2 linked regions of the Struthio camelus genome follow. The protein of the gene in region 1 interacts with the protein of each later gene in a biochemical or structural test. Links are inferred from orthologs where the notes say so. Each region holds a gene or a part of one and is shown on either strand. Other genes may lie near its edges.

Region 1 (7,275 bases):
TTTGTGACGTTCTAACACCACTAAGTCATACCTCTAAAGCAAGTCATCTCTTGAGCTTACAGATTCATTCATTCACGCTGGTTGCTTAAACCCTACGTTCCTAAGTAACTAATCTGAGGACAGAAAATCTGAAAACTAGGCGTAAATCTGCATCCTCTGTTTCAAACCCTTAGCAGGACCTATACTGTGACCTTTTTAACCGAATTTGGGGAAGTACTGAAAACAGAGCGCTCCGCAGAGACAGGGAAAGCTACTGCTCTCCTACTGGGCTAGGCCACAGTTTGCACATAACTAACAAACAGGCTGAAGAGCACAGGGCTGCTAGTCAACCCGAGAGCCAGGCCATCTGCCAGCAGTCGGTCAAAAAGAGGAATGCCAACCTCATTTCAAGCAGTTGGCTAGATTCTGCATTTCATTATGGTCAGAATATACACACGATTCCCTATGCTCAATAGGCCGTAGCTAGACAATACCAAGCCTGCACACAGATCAGAGGGAAAAGGTCTTTTCCTAAAGCCATTTACTTGTGTACATTTGTTACTATGCAAAAAGAAAAGGGGATCTTCTGATTCTACAGCTATTTCAGCCTTCTATGGCTCGTCCCTTTTCTCTGACCTATCTTTCTCTCTTCCTTTTCCTTTCCTGATTTTTTAAATTACCAGTAGCAGTGGAATTTACTCATTCCTTTCCATCTAAGGCAACCAGCAACAGAATATTTAACTCTAATGTTAGAGTTAGCAGGATAGCAAAGGTCAAAAAAATTCTCATCCAAGAGTCTCTCCTAAAGACTGAAGCAGGTTAAGTTTTCACCTCTGCAGCTATGACATTTCAAAACAGTACTCCGCACATTTTTGAGACTACAATAGCTAGTCATTCAAATCCTAAACTGTATGCGCATCTAGCGACCTAGGGCGAGCACAGTACAGGAGCTGTTCATCATAACACAACTAATCCAGGATTCAAAAGCTATAGATTGCCTGCAGACAATATATAAAGCACATACAGAAATAAACAACCCACACCAACCTATCATAGACAATAATCCTGTAAGAGTCTAGAGGTGGATTCCCTCCTCCATGAAAACTGGAGTTTTTAGGTCTTTTTTGTCTGCTGCCCTTCCTCCCCTGCTCTTTCCTAGGGCAGCAGAAAGCATTCCCATGCCATTACACATCTTGGAAATAAGTTGTGTGAATTGCTCCTTTTTTTTTTTCTCCTCTTCAAAAAGTGGCTGAAGAAAAAATGCCAAGGGACTTATGTGCCAGCTTACAGGACCGTGGATCTCTTGGTTGTGTTCACAAGAATTATTAAAAACATGGGAGGGGGGAGGGGGAACCACACACACGGACATCAGCTTCGTGGCCAAGTTCTTACCACTTCATGATGAATACCAGTTCCACTGTATTATGAAACAGTGTTCTCTCTCATACCTGAGATATATTCAGCATTGTATGCTGTGCACCAAGGCAGCTGGATGAGCATCAAATTAATTCAGTCTATAAGATTTGTCTTCATTCTTTCTACTGCTTACCATTCTGAGCAGTAAGCATAATTTAGTCTTTGCCTCACACAGGCTAAATGCTACTCCTGCCTTGTTTTTCCGTCATCTCCTCTATTCACCTATTATATAACTTTAGTCAAAGCAAAGATAACACTGGATTGCCTTTAAAGCATATTTAGCATATTCTGTGTTCTAGCGTTTTACAACGGTTGCCAACTTTCAGTGTGCTCAACCAACAAGAGCTTCACAGTGTTATAAATTATTTGTGGCATTCATTCACTCGAATGAGAAACAATGGTGCTATTATTTCCAATGAAGACTAATGAACCTTAGTGGGATAACTTAGTAACTCTTACAAAAGTACTGATCACCAATTCGAGAGCTTCAGGTCACACTTCTGCGAACAGAGCAGGAGTTAGCAGCCCAGCACAAGCATGCACGCTGGCTACAGGACCAAGCCACTGGAGAAGACTCACGTTGGCGCTGCAGTGCAGCTAACAGTATCCGCCTTGAGTGCCTCCAGTCCAAGTCACTCAAGTCTTAAGGTGATAAAGCACTCAGAGGGTCAGCCAGAAGTACCCCGAAGTTGACAGTTCTTACAGAGCTTGGTAAGTAAGTCAAAGTAAGGCACTGAACACCCAGCGCTAACACACCCATCATCTAAAAGCCGGTAACTCGGAGGGCGCTTAACAGCCGCCAGGTTAGCCTAACTCACAGTAGCAGGAACGCCTTCCTCCGCACGCCTCAGGACGCGGGTCAAGCGCTCGCACAGCGCAGCCTTCCTCGCACAAGCGCTAAAACCAGGCAGCCTCCCCCCGCCGCGGGCCCCGCAGCTCTGCGGCCGCCAGGCTCTCCCCCGCCGCGGCCGCGGCCGGCCGGCCTACAGGCGCCGGCCTCCGCGCGTTAAGCGCCGCCGCGGTACCCGGGCCTCGGCCGGCGCTGCGCGGCGCGGCCCTCCCCGGCAGCCGGGCCGGGCCGGACCAGGCCGGCAGAAGCAGCGCAGGCCGCGGCCCCCCGCGGGCGGGCGCGGAGCCTGCGGCGGCGGCGGCGCAGGCCCGGCCCCGCGCTCCCATTCATTCCCGCCGCGGCGCCCAGGCCGCGCCCCGGCCCGGCGGCCGCGGTGCCCGCCGCAGCATGGCGGGGGTACCGAGGAGGACCGCCCGGACCGGACCGGACCGAACGGGACCGGACCGGACCGGCCCGGCGGCCGCGCCCCTCCCCCCGCGCGGCCCCGCTCCCGGTCAGCGGAAGCGGCGCTCCCTGCCCTGCCGGCGGTGCGGGCCCCAGCCCGGCCCCCCTCCCTCCCGCGGAGCGGCGGCGGTGACGGCGGCGGCGGCACCTTGATGATCCTGCGGGGCAGCCCGGCCATCTTGTCGCGTCGCGGTGCGGTGCGGTGCAGGCTCCGTGAGTCTCGCCTCCGCTCGGGGCTCACGCGCAGCCGGAAGTAGCCCGCGCCGCGCTTCCGGTGGCGCCGCCCTCCGCCGGCGCCGCCCGCGGCACGCCGGGCAACGTAGGCCGAGCCGCGCCGGGCCGGGCCGGGGCCCTGCCCGCCGCCCGCAGCTGCCGCCGGGCGCCGGCGGGAGGCAGCGGGCCATCAGCGCCGCCGCCGGGCGTCCGTTAGCAACGGGCGGCGCGAGGCGGGTGTAAGATGGCGGGGGAGGGCGAGGCGGGCAGCAGACGTGTGGGGCTGCCGAGCCGGCCCCGGTTACGGGGAAGCAGCCCCGCGGGAGAGCCGTGTGCCGTCGGCTGCAGCCTCAGGGGCCGCAGCCACCTGCCGGCGGTCGCTCGGCACGGACCGGGTCGAGGCTTCATCAGCGTGTGCCGGGCGCCAGCACGGTGCCCGCTTCCTGCTCTTAGGCCCTAAGCGTGTCCCTAAAGTCCGCAGTCACCAAGGCATCTTAGAACATCATGACTTTGTGAATTTCCTTCTTTTTGGCCGAAAGATTCCTTGTGTAAAGTTAGAGGTCGTTTAGGTAAGTGTAAGTATCACGCGAGCATCCCGTGACACACTGCTAGAGCTGTGCAGCAGTAGTAGTAGCATCTAGTACCTCACATCATTATTGCTGCTGTACTGATGATGGGAAATAGGGACAATGCCGTTTGCCATAGGTTGCCAAGCAGGCTAGCAGCACAGCCAGGAATCGGACCGGGATACGTGATTCCCTGTCAAGTGTTTTCTCCTGGCTTCGAAACAGGACTTGTAGATGGCCTATGCCATTTCCATATGCTCTAGTAGAGTGGCAAGCGCTCTGACACTGAAATCTGGAATGTGTAATTGCTGACAGGCTGTTATCACAGAGACTACAGACATTTTATAGCTTTTTTTTTTGGCAGACATATTACATGGTGGTTATGATAACAGATGTCAGAAGAGTGGTGTGTCTTCCTTCACCCTCCCCACAATATTTCCCAACAACAGACCTAGTTTTTCTTCTTTGTCCTGCTCTCTGAGCCATTGGCACTACAGAAGCCAACTAACAAGTATTGAGTTGTGCTTCACTATTCGGTATCCTCAACTGGTTGTACACACCAGTAATTTCAAATTTCATGCAAATTCATTAAAGATATGTACCTCTGTAAACTCTTGTATACATCCTCAGCCCTTTAAACACTTCATTGCTTTCCTAACTTTAATGCTGTAACTTTCTCAGAAGTCAGGAAAATCAACATCGAGGTGACATGCAACACAAGTGCATGAAAACATGTTTGCAGAATGTGGGTTAAAGAACCTCCCTCATTCTACAGTGGGTAGGGTGAGTTTGTTTGCATGTGTTATTGGCAAATTCGCTGTGTTTAAATGTGGTCCTTTAGCACATCCTCATCTTGCTGCTTATACATTGAACTCAAATTTTTTTAAGTGTGGATTTTTCATTTGCTTAATTATTACAACCTGTTGCTACTACATAAGTATGACTAAACTCGATTGCTTAGATATTTTTATGTAATCATCCCCTTTACAAGACTTATCATCTGACCTGAAAAGGTGAAACATTGATCTCTAGAGAAAAAATTTGTAAGGTGGAGCCTGTTTTATCGACTGGATATTAACCCAGTTTTTCCCTAGCTTCACAGGTATGTAAGTATCTGTAGCATACTTGGTGCTTTATAATAAACAGTTATAATATAGGCTGCGTGGGTTCTCCTCTTGATGATGCACAGTGTCTTATTGTTTGATTCTGGTGGTTAGCGGTATTGGTGATTTATTGATTGATGGCTGTTTTTTTATTCAAATAGGAGAAATCACACACACAGATGTGAAGTCTCTCCCAAGTGACTGTACTGCAGCTTCCCACCTCTTTGAAATGTAACAGGGACAACGAGTCTAAAAGAAATTTGTGCTATGCAGAATGTGCTTGATATGGGCAAATGTAAACCTCAGGCATTTTAAACTTGAAATTTCCAGCCTGGGCTCATGTGGCAGGTTTAGAACCCGTGTGGTACTAAAACTGCTATCCAGCAATCCTTATTTCATTGAAAAATTGTGGGGGCTATATTTAGTACCCATTTCTGGTACGCAGATCTTCACAGATGCAGGTTTACTTTGCAGTAAATTTTTAAAGGCCTAAACATAGTAATGTCTTCTCAAAATGTCTGTCACTTGGGAGAGCAGTGGCAGTGTAAATGAATTAAAAAAATGTAGTGACAAGCACAATGTAGTGTTGACCAGCATATAAATAAGTGCTTACCACTGTGCAGCATGAGGACGGGTTAAAGCATCTAATTGCTTTTGAGGAATGGGATTACAGCTAACTTTGCTTAGGGAGTCAGGAGAGAAAGCGGAGGGTGGAGGGTTATGGAAAAGATAGAATTAACATTCATATAATCTTGAGGCTTCATGAATAATTGAAAATATTTCTAATCATGTTGCTATGACACCCAGTAATAACTAGGAGTCTCAATTCTGACTTAGCCAGTATGCTGACATATGCAGGAGGAACATATATATCTAAGTTATTTATAATGTTCTCTCCACGTTATCTGAACTTCACATAATACTGTAGGCAGTTTAGGAACCAAAACCAGAAAGACTTCTGCCCTACCCTAGTAACCCTTGTACATACTTGCCAGCATCAACCAAATCTGAAAATACAGGTGGAGAGGCTGATTCCTTGTGAATTTTATGAAAATAGGCAGAGAGAGGAAATGGAAGTTGGTAGTCCCATAGGGGGAAAGACTCCATGACACCAAGTCTTATTAGACATCAGAGAATCTTCAGTGGGCCATAGCTTCAAGACCAAAGCCATTAAAAAACAAACTCTGTTGTTACTCTGCTTGCCGAATTACTTCTTTTTCTTTGTTTCTGCCTCCTATTTGTCATTGTTTTCTTTTATCCTTCTCCTGGAATACTGACCATTAAAGAGCTGGCGTTAGCGGAGGAAAAAACACAGGCCAAAAGGTGAATTCAGGCTCAGTGTGCGAATAAAGTGCAACCTACTTTCTTGAAAGTGCTGCAGCTTCTGCTCTGTGAACCTTGCTCTTCATCTGCTGGGGGCAGCGAGAGAGTGGAGCATAGTTGGCTCAGACAAATGCTGAGGAACACTGTCTTCAGTGTTCCCTTACAGGTGTTGTAGACCAAGAATCTCACTTCAGTCTGGGGCTGCAACAAGTCTGTCTGGCAAGCTATTGTGTTTTGATAGTTTTCATTGCTCAATAAGTGGCCTGTCACATGCTGGAAAATTTGCAGCTTTCATGACTCCTCTCTTTCTGCCTCATTTTAGAAAGAGGTTTTTCTAGTCCACTTGCTCAGAGATGACAGTGAACAAAAATCTTGTTTTCTACTCTCCTATCTACCAAAATTTAGGTCCTTCCCATAAGTCATTCTAGCTCCCTAGAAGAGTTGCTGCAGAGATCCCTGAGTATCCATATGGGTGCCAAAAAAGCCATCCAGACTGGCTACTCCAGAATCCTGGCTTTAGACTTTGGCTCGTTGCGCTGCTCCCGTACCAAGTGATATCTTCCATGACGGGATACAGTAAAAAATATCCTTCTTTTATAATCTTCTAAAATTCCCAAAGGAATCCCAACCTAAACCTCTAAATCAGAGCTGGAACCCAAGACATGTAAGTGCCCAGGGAGCTTTGTCCCTTATACTAGCCATGTTCCACTGAGATTCTCGCATCTTCCAGTTGTTTGCCACCCCAGTGTCCTTCCAAACATAGGATTTTCCACTCAGCCATTATTGCCATTGTAATCTGGACTGCAGCCTACACAGCTCTGATCTGCTTAGCCTCCATTTGGCATGTCCCTTGGAAGGCTTCCTTGGAGAAGCGCCCCTGGTGACCCAGTGCAGTATGGCTCTGCTCTTCACTTCCATTGGTAGAACGATACTCCAACACTCCCGCTCTGGAGTTCAAGATTATCACTAAAATGTGTTTATTCTTCCCTGCCAGATCATATATTTTGAGCAGTATGGCACAGAGGTTTCTTATCTTATTTCTTTTTTCTTCAAGAAAGACTTTGCAAAGCCACATATAGCAGTACCATTAAAACTACCTAAAGAAAGTTAGAAGTTTCTCGGTAGTCATGGGGCCCGAAAGGAGAAAAGGAGGGGAAAAAAAGTAGATCTGAAAAACTAGATTTCCACAGTGTTATCTGTGTAGTTTGTCAAAACGTGCAAAGTATTTCAACCATCCTTTTTTGCTAAAATAAAGATTTGATGGGAAAAAAAATGATCCGCTTTCATCCAGAGTATTATAATGAAGTCTTGCATCCTCATTTAGACAGCTGCCTTCCCTGACTCAACCTGGGATTTTGCCTACCTTTGCTAGGTCAAAAGG
Region 2 (7,531 bases), on another chromosome or scaffold:
ATATATATTTTTCTGGAATATACAAATAAAAATATAATAAAGGATCTTAACCTCAGGTTTGACTCAGGACTGGATTTAAGCAAGTGCAGTCCCCACTTCATTCCAGCTCACTAACCTCCTCGGAACAAGTCTAGTTCTGAATTTGCATCTCTAGCCTATGCCTGTTCTAGTATTTTTTCCCCTCTGAATTTTCCACTCCAAACTTTCACTGGCAGCAGTAACGGTGGTAACTAGTGAGAATAGTGCAGTGGAGATCTGAAAGGGCTCTGTACATGTTCAGCCTTTTAAGAGATTTAGCTCAAGAGTTTCTACTTACATTCAGCCACCTCGTTTCATCACTTACCAGTCCTTTCTCCATTTGGGCTTTGATGTCTGTGAGCTTGTTCACTTCAACACAGAGCTGGTCAATAGTCTCTTCAATTTTCTGTTGCGTTGCTTGTTGCTCTTGTTCAATGAACATCAGTGTGTTTCTCTCCTGCCTTTCAATGTATTCCTTCATGCAACAGAAATCTTTAGTAATCTGGCTTTTGATCTGAAATGTATATTCCTGGAAGGCAGAAAACACGGAGTTTTTTGTGTTTGTAGAAAAGATGTGTGTAATATGAGAAGCTAGTGCTTCATCTAATGCACTTTGACTGACGTCTACAGACCAGTAGCAGCTGTCTTTATTTAAAGGAATAAAACATGTTTGCACTGTCCTGCATTGCTTGCAGTCGGATTTTGAGCATGTTACGGATCTTGACTGTTTTATGGCCAGCAGTCTTTGGTCAGCATCTTCGCAAAGATCAATATTCCCTCTTCATGCCTTGCCTTTTGCCTCTAAGGGTTCCAGAAGCATCCAGGCTGCTCCTGGGATAGGCAGAAAAAGACAACAACATGCAACTCCTGTGGCCCTTGCGCCAGCTAAGGCAGGGGTTAACGCAGCTGGTGCCATAGTCCACACTCAGCAGAAAAAAAAAAAAAAAGAGGTATGAGAGCAAAAGGAAACGAAAAGGAAATCCCTGCTTTGGGCTAGAAGGCTGCACTGGTGTCAGTCAGGTTCTCCAGGTGGATGTGGAAACAGAAGTTAACTGCAGTTAATGAACGTACACATCCATACCTTTGTTTTACTGAGATCCTCCCTCAAGAGGCGGATGGTCTCTTCAGTCATTTCCAGTTGCTTGGAGATCTCACTTATCTCTTCCTCCTTTAAAGTGACACATTGGACTGTTTATCTATATAACACTCAGAGAAAACATGACTACGTTATACAGCAGAGTAATAAAACCCCCTACATCATGGATATTAGCGATGCACTGACTGGTTCAAAGCGGGGTAGAGCTCACAATTAATTCTGAGTGTGAATAATCACAGCAAAGTCAACATTCAACAATTACATGTTCAAATGTCATTATGAGCTTAAGCCCTCTGCTTGACTGCAGAGATTGAAGATAACTGTCTTGTGTGTGTACGTATGTGCGTATAGTGCTAAAATAATGCGAGTCAATAGTCAGATTTTGCTCATCTCTTCCATCAAAATGTGGGAGTTGTTTAAAGTTTTTTTCTTTTTAAGCAGAGACGTAGATAATGAACCAGAGGCATTTTGTGCCGTTTGGCTAGGGGGAGCTGTAGCACCGTATAAATAATGTTATGTTTCAGTTAGCTGTCTCCAGCTAAGCCTGTGCAATAAATAACACCGCTTAAAGATGTTTATGAAAAGAGGAGGGAAAGAACAGACAGGGACTGGGATACAAAACAACTGAAGCAACGCTCTGTCTTCCAGGATGCTCAGCGCTCAAGGCGAGGGATACCACACGCTGGGATTACACTGTTTGCCCATTGCTAGTTTTAACTGGAGGAATAATAAGGCAATGGTGAAAAATGGAGACGGAAACGAAAGACAGTAACAGAGATGGAGAGAAAGAAAAAGAAAACAAGTGAAGATATATTTACAGACATCTAAAGTCTCTAGCCCTTCGGTGATCAACAGGTAGTGCTCCAGCATCCTCTCGTAGCACCCCTTTTGCATATATGCAGCCCTCTCAATGTGATACTGTTATGAGAATGCTAAACTGGCATGTGAAATGCAAAGTAGCCAGAAGGAAAAAAAAATGCAAGAAAACAGATGAAGTTAACTCAGTTCCAGCCTCATCCCCATTTTCACAGCCCTGCAGAAGGGTATCCCTGGGGGTTACTCTGGGCAGGAGCCCCAGGATCTCCTGGGGAGGTGAGGGCAGGAGCCCTGGGCTGTCCCTGCCTGTCCCAGGGGGCTGCCGCTAGCAGGATCCCCGGGCGGCCTCCGGCCATACCTTCACGGCTTCTCTCCGCCCTGCTGAGCGCTGGCCACCCCAGGCGCCAGCTCTGGCCGGTTCCGGTTCCTCCTCTTTCTCCCACTCTTTCTCCTTTTCCTCCCTGGGGACCAAGTTCACCAGAACGGCCAGCTCCCGGTTGGGCCGTAAGTCCTTCAGCTCAAAGCCTTCGCGGCAGAGCGGACAGCCGGCGCTCCTCTTCACCTTGCAGTAGTAGGTGGTGATGCAGGACCGGCAGAAGCTGTGGCTGCAGCCTGCGAGCCGCACGGGGTCGGTGAAGTACAGCAGGCAGCATGGGCACTTCAAGTCCAGCTTGGCCTGGAGCTGCCGGAGATCCACAGAGGCCGCCATGATCTCTGGCGTTTCAGTTTCGGTTCCCACAGGCGCCCCTCCTCCTGCCTTCCCAGAGGCTCCCTCTGTGTGCGAAAGCCAGGAGACGGCAATGGGATGGTGGGGACAGGGTATCCCCTCCGAGAGCGAAGGGAGAGAGCCAAGGACACCGCAGGATGGTGCCTCTCCTCTAACGCTGGCTCCACTGAGAGGCTGCTGTGCTGCGGTGGAGATGGGTCCACCCACACGGCTGGGCCCCACAGCTGGGCCGAGGCTGCCGAGCTCACCCCAGGCAGGCAGGATGGAGCAGAAACGGGCCGGGAGGCTCCCACAGACTCCAGGCCAAGACGCAGGGCGCAGCCGGAAAGTTCAGTGCCTGGCCCAGCACTCCCCTCTTCTGGCAGCTCTGGTCTATGAATTGGTTTGACTTAGAAAGGAACTGTCATGCAGAGCACTCTGTGATCCGGCCTTGACTTTTACTGACTCTGGCAAAAAAGTTGTCGCATCTGCACTATTTCACTTTCTCAGGGAGTTTCCTGGTTTTGTTAGAGAAGTCTCAGTAGAGTTGCTGACAGGGCTGGCCTACTGACCCGTCTGGGAGAGCAAGTAACACAGCTCAGTGGGACCAGCACAGCACCATCCAGGAAGTTTAGGCTACTGGGTGGCCTGCTCCCTACTGAGCATCATCCCCTGTTACTCAGGTGTGTAAAACCAAACCAAGACTGATACTCTTCCTCATACAAGTCAGCAGGTGCTTTGCTATTGATTTCGGTGGCTGCTGGATCAGATTGCTACAAGATTTGCTGAATCACCACAAACTGGAATTTGGGCTGTGTGGCGAGAATGGGAACACGGGAGTTTATGGGAGCGTATAAGCAAGCAAAACTCCTGCTGCAGATTGCTCAGGGTGAGATGGTGATGAGCTGGCTGAGACAGGCAGAATGAAGATCCAACTCAAATCATTTTTGCCCACTATTGCACACACACACATACAAAGTTAATCTCACTAATCCCTGCACATATCAGCACTTCCTCATTTCTGCAGAAGAGGAGAACTATTCTGGGTATCTCAGACTGGCTGGCAAGCATCAGCAAGAGGTGACAGCTTTACCAGAAACTTAGTTTGCAAGACTTCCGCTTGATTTGCAAACTAAGGCAGTATAAAAGAGAAGAATCAAATATCTGAATGACTGGCTGCTTGGCAGAATCAAACCTTACACTCTGTCCAGCAAGAAAAAGCTCAGTGCACTGTATCAGCCCATGTAAATCTTCACTAATTTCTGCATGGAACAGATTAAGTGGCACCCGATCAGGAGGCATTCACCCTCCACTTCCAGTGCTGGTACTTATTCACCGAGTGTCTTCAAGCAGGTCACTGAAGATAACACTTTTAAAAGTAGCTTCTGCCTTTCAGTCCCCATATTAGACCAACTCATTAAGTGAATCTAGAACCCAAAGCTTCAGCTGGACTTCCCGGAGGTAGGACAGGTCAGCATATCTTCATCCTGAACTCATAATGCCTTGGTTGGGGCACCCACTATCCAGCTTTGCTTTGGAAAAATTTGATGTTCACACGTCAGATCTGCCAGTTATAGAAGAGTCAAATAGCAGAGACTGCCAAAAGCAAGCAGCTAGGGGTATTTGTCATCAGATTGAGTCCATTACAGTATCCTCTACAATTCAAACATGACTTTTATTTCTATAATTTCTGTACCAGAAATACAACACTGTAAAAGACATTAAACCCACTGAAAACAACCCTGTCCCTGTCTGGAGAGGAGCTGCAGGCAGGTGGAGCACAGCTCCTGAGCTTTACATGTGCTCAGTGACTGCCAGAGTATGCAGCCGCTGCTTGGCTGTGCTCCTCCCACAGTAAGACATCCAGTAACTCCAGCACAAATTGGCATTTTAGGTCTATCCGACAGGACACTCTGCATCTTCCTGGTAGGTGATGATCTTTTTGCCTCTTGGTCACGAGTTGTATGGACTCAAGTAACGGATGATCATGTTCACCAACAGGATATATGCCACGTGCCAAACTGTCAAATACATCATCCTACAGGATGTATAGGCATCCTCTTCTGACCTCAGACTGAGGCCAGAGCGGGAGGATCTGGTATAACAGCACCTACAGGGGTCCTCAAGGAAATGCATGTCAGTCTCTCCTGGCGTCAGAATTTCTCTGCTGACCTTGCCTCTTTTTCCATAAGACAGCGCTGGCTGGTTCATCCCTACCTCAGGCGAGGAAGGCTGCCTCCTCTCAAAAACAGACAAGGGAAGGAAGAGAGAAGACACTTCATGCAAGGTTCTGCAGGGACACAGATCCTTTCTAAACATCCGTATCCCCCTCTAACTCATTTCTCTACTGCCCCTCTTCTTGTGCCTGCAGCTGTTCAAGGAAGAAGTCCTCGGTACTAGTCACTCACTGCAGGGCCTTGAGCACTATCCTTGCCAACAGAAAGAGGCCACAGAGCAGCGCTGAACAGAACCCAAAAGTGCAGTTCACTGCAACTCTGTGCTAGTCTTAGCCTGTCAAAGGCTGGGCAAGGACTCCATTCAAAGCATCTATCCACTCCCTCTGCTCCCTGTCGTTCTCGCATATAAACACAAACTCTCTCATTGGTGTGACCACAGTGATCCCCGGTTTCCTCTTCTTCACTCGGATTCCCTGGGGAAAGCCAGCTCGTACTTCATATCCCTTATCCGTCGTTCCAATAAAAACATGGCCCTGTTCAAATGCATCCTAGAAAGAAAGAATCAGAAGACATCCATTAGCCAGTTGACAGTGTGGCTCCAGCAGACATTGTTCCATCCTTTGGCATGGAGCAGGAACTGCGGACCCATGGAGGGGACACTGATGACAAGGAACAGAAAACACAACAGAGCTTTTTTGTGCTCACAGGCATTCTCCAAAGAAAGAAGTAAGGACCCATCCTTGCAGAGCTGGCTGGTAGGTGTTCAGAAGGAGCATGGCAGGATATTCTTGGGGTGAAACGTGTTAGAAAGTGTTAGGAAGCATTCAGAGTTAGGAAGCACAATATAGGGGCTCTCAAGCCTCTGTTATTAGTATTCCCCTAATGTTACATACACACCTGCAACACGGGTGGGAGTGAGTGGACTATAAATTCTCGTGGCAGGTGCAGTGATTTTTAAAAGACCTAGATCTTCCTCACAGCTACTAGGAGGGCTGGAGTTCCCAAATTGCTCTGCTCCAAAGAGATCCACCAACAAAGGAGACGAGCTCTTGGGAAGCACCTGTCTCAGTCTTGCGCAGCCACTGGCAAAGTGGGGTAAGAACAGCACTCCCCACTCCATGAAGGGGCTTGTGGAATAGTGAAGAACACTCTTCTTACCAGTGGATTTTTAAAGTAAATCAGGATCCTCTCTTGAGAGTCCAGGCTGAACCAGCGCACCTTAAAGGCCTCCTTCTGCTGCAAGGAGATGGCAGAAGTTCTTTAAAGACCAAGTCCCAAAGGAGAGTTCTACCTATTCAGGGCAGACCCCTCAGCTGCTTCTCTGTCTCCAAGCTTGAGTTCAGTGTCACTTTAGCACCATAACTGGTAATAGGTGACTCACTGCTATGTGCAGACCTCAGCTCCCTTCTCTCTGGGTTCACACTAGAGATTTGTATTCAATGACAATCCTTTAGGTGAGGCAGGACAGTTTGGTTCTACAAGCGATCAAACTATCAGGTTTCAGAAAGTTGCAGCAAATGGATTAACTGAAAACACTGCAGAGAATGATCCTGGGCCAGTGGCTGTCATGAAGAGTGTGTGCAGGCCATTTCCGTATTTTGGTTGGGGGTTGTTTTTACAATTTAAGTTTTAAAAAGTGCTAATTCTATCAACTGTGCTCATCTGAGCATGCCCTGATCTATTCACTCCTCTGATGGATTAAGGGCCCTCTTCTAGGGCTCACTGCAGTTTGAGCAGAATTTAGGCCTTAAGTGAAAAAAAAAAAAAAAACCAACAAATCATCTTTCATGCTGTTGGCTTTGAGCATGCTCTATGCCAGGACCTGCAGGAAGATCTTTTGGGACGCTAGCACTAACTTGGGCCAAAAAAACAGCATATATTCAATATCAGCCTTTTACTACTGAACTTTTTAATGGGACTTTGACTCAGAGCTTATTCAGTGGAGAGCAGGACAAGAGGCAGCAGTGTTCAGATAAGACCTCAGATCTTTCTCTCCTTCTCCAAGCAGAGTCTGCACTCTCCCTCTCCCATTCTTTTCCAAGAAGTAGCAGCCAAATACTCTCCCGCAAAAAACAAACTAAACCATAGACTTCACTGCAAAGTAGTCGCTCTATCATATTTCCTTGCTGTAAACAGATGTGACTTCTGTGCTACCAAGTTTAAGAGGGAAGTAGGGGGAGTCAGCATGTGATTTTCTGTTCTACAGAGTGCTGCCAATTCTAGAGCTGCAGTTAATGGGCGTACGATACAGCAACCCATTTAGTGTTGCATAATAGCACTTTGCGTTTCCACTGTCAGTTAATTCATCTTGCTTACTTTTCAAGGAGGATCCTCCTTCCCAGTCTTATTTTCCATACAAAATTAAACAGAATTCCAGAGAACATTATAGGCTAGAATATAATCTCTTTTATCAACCCAGGAAGCAATTAGTCACTCAACAAATCATTTACTACTAAACACCACAGCATTATCAAATATTCTCCATCTGGAAGAATCCTGTTTGCCTACTGCCAAGTATGTAAGCTGAACCTACCTTTGGTCCCGTTTTCTCCATATATCCTTCTTTGATATAATTTCTTGTAATCCTGGGTATGAGCTAGGAGAACAAAACAAAAAAAAAAGTCAGCCATCTCATTCAGGCTCACTTTTCTGTTCTGTTTCTGTCAAAGCAAATCACCATCAATTTTGGCTTTTGGGGCTTGGGTTTTTCTTTGGCTG

What was found. The genes of interacting proteins can lie anywhere in the genome.
Region 2: the proteins of UBE2N (region 1) and RNF135 form a complex in vitro, tested with the Homo sapiens proteins (4 studies listed by BioGRID). The link is inferred for Struthio camelus from reciprocal best matches to the Homo sapiens genes UBE2N and RNF135.

What each region holds. Positions count from the first base shown.
Region 1 is NC_090942.1:51,333,111-51,340,385, forward strand, and holds the start of UBE2N (ubiquitin-conjugating enzyme E2 N), read right to left. Parts: upstream 3,005-7,275; 5' UTR 2,868-3,004; coding exon 2,838-2,867; intron 1-2,837. UniProt on the Homo sapiens protein: The UBE2V1-UBE2N and UBE2V2-UBE2N heterodimers catalyze the synthesis of non-canonical 'Lys-63'-linked polyubiquitin chains. This type of polyubiquitination does not lead to protein degradation by the proteasome.
Region 2 is NC_090960.1:5,020,319-5,027,849, forward strand, and holds the start of RNF135 (E3 ubiquitin-protein ligase RNF135), read right to left. Parts: upstream 3,018-7,531; 5' UTR 2,640-3,017; coding exon 2,289-2,639; intron 1,187-2,288; coding exon 1,100-1,186; intron 548-1,099; coding exon 344-547; intron 1-343. Other genes in the region: ADAP2 (arf-GAP with dual PH domain-containing protein 2), read right to left, coding at 5,143-5,361, 5,972-6,049, 7,347-7,409.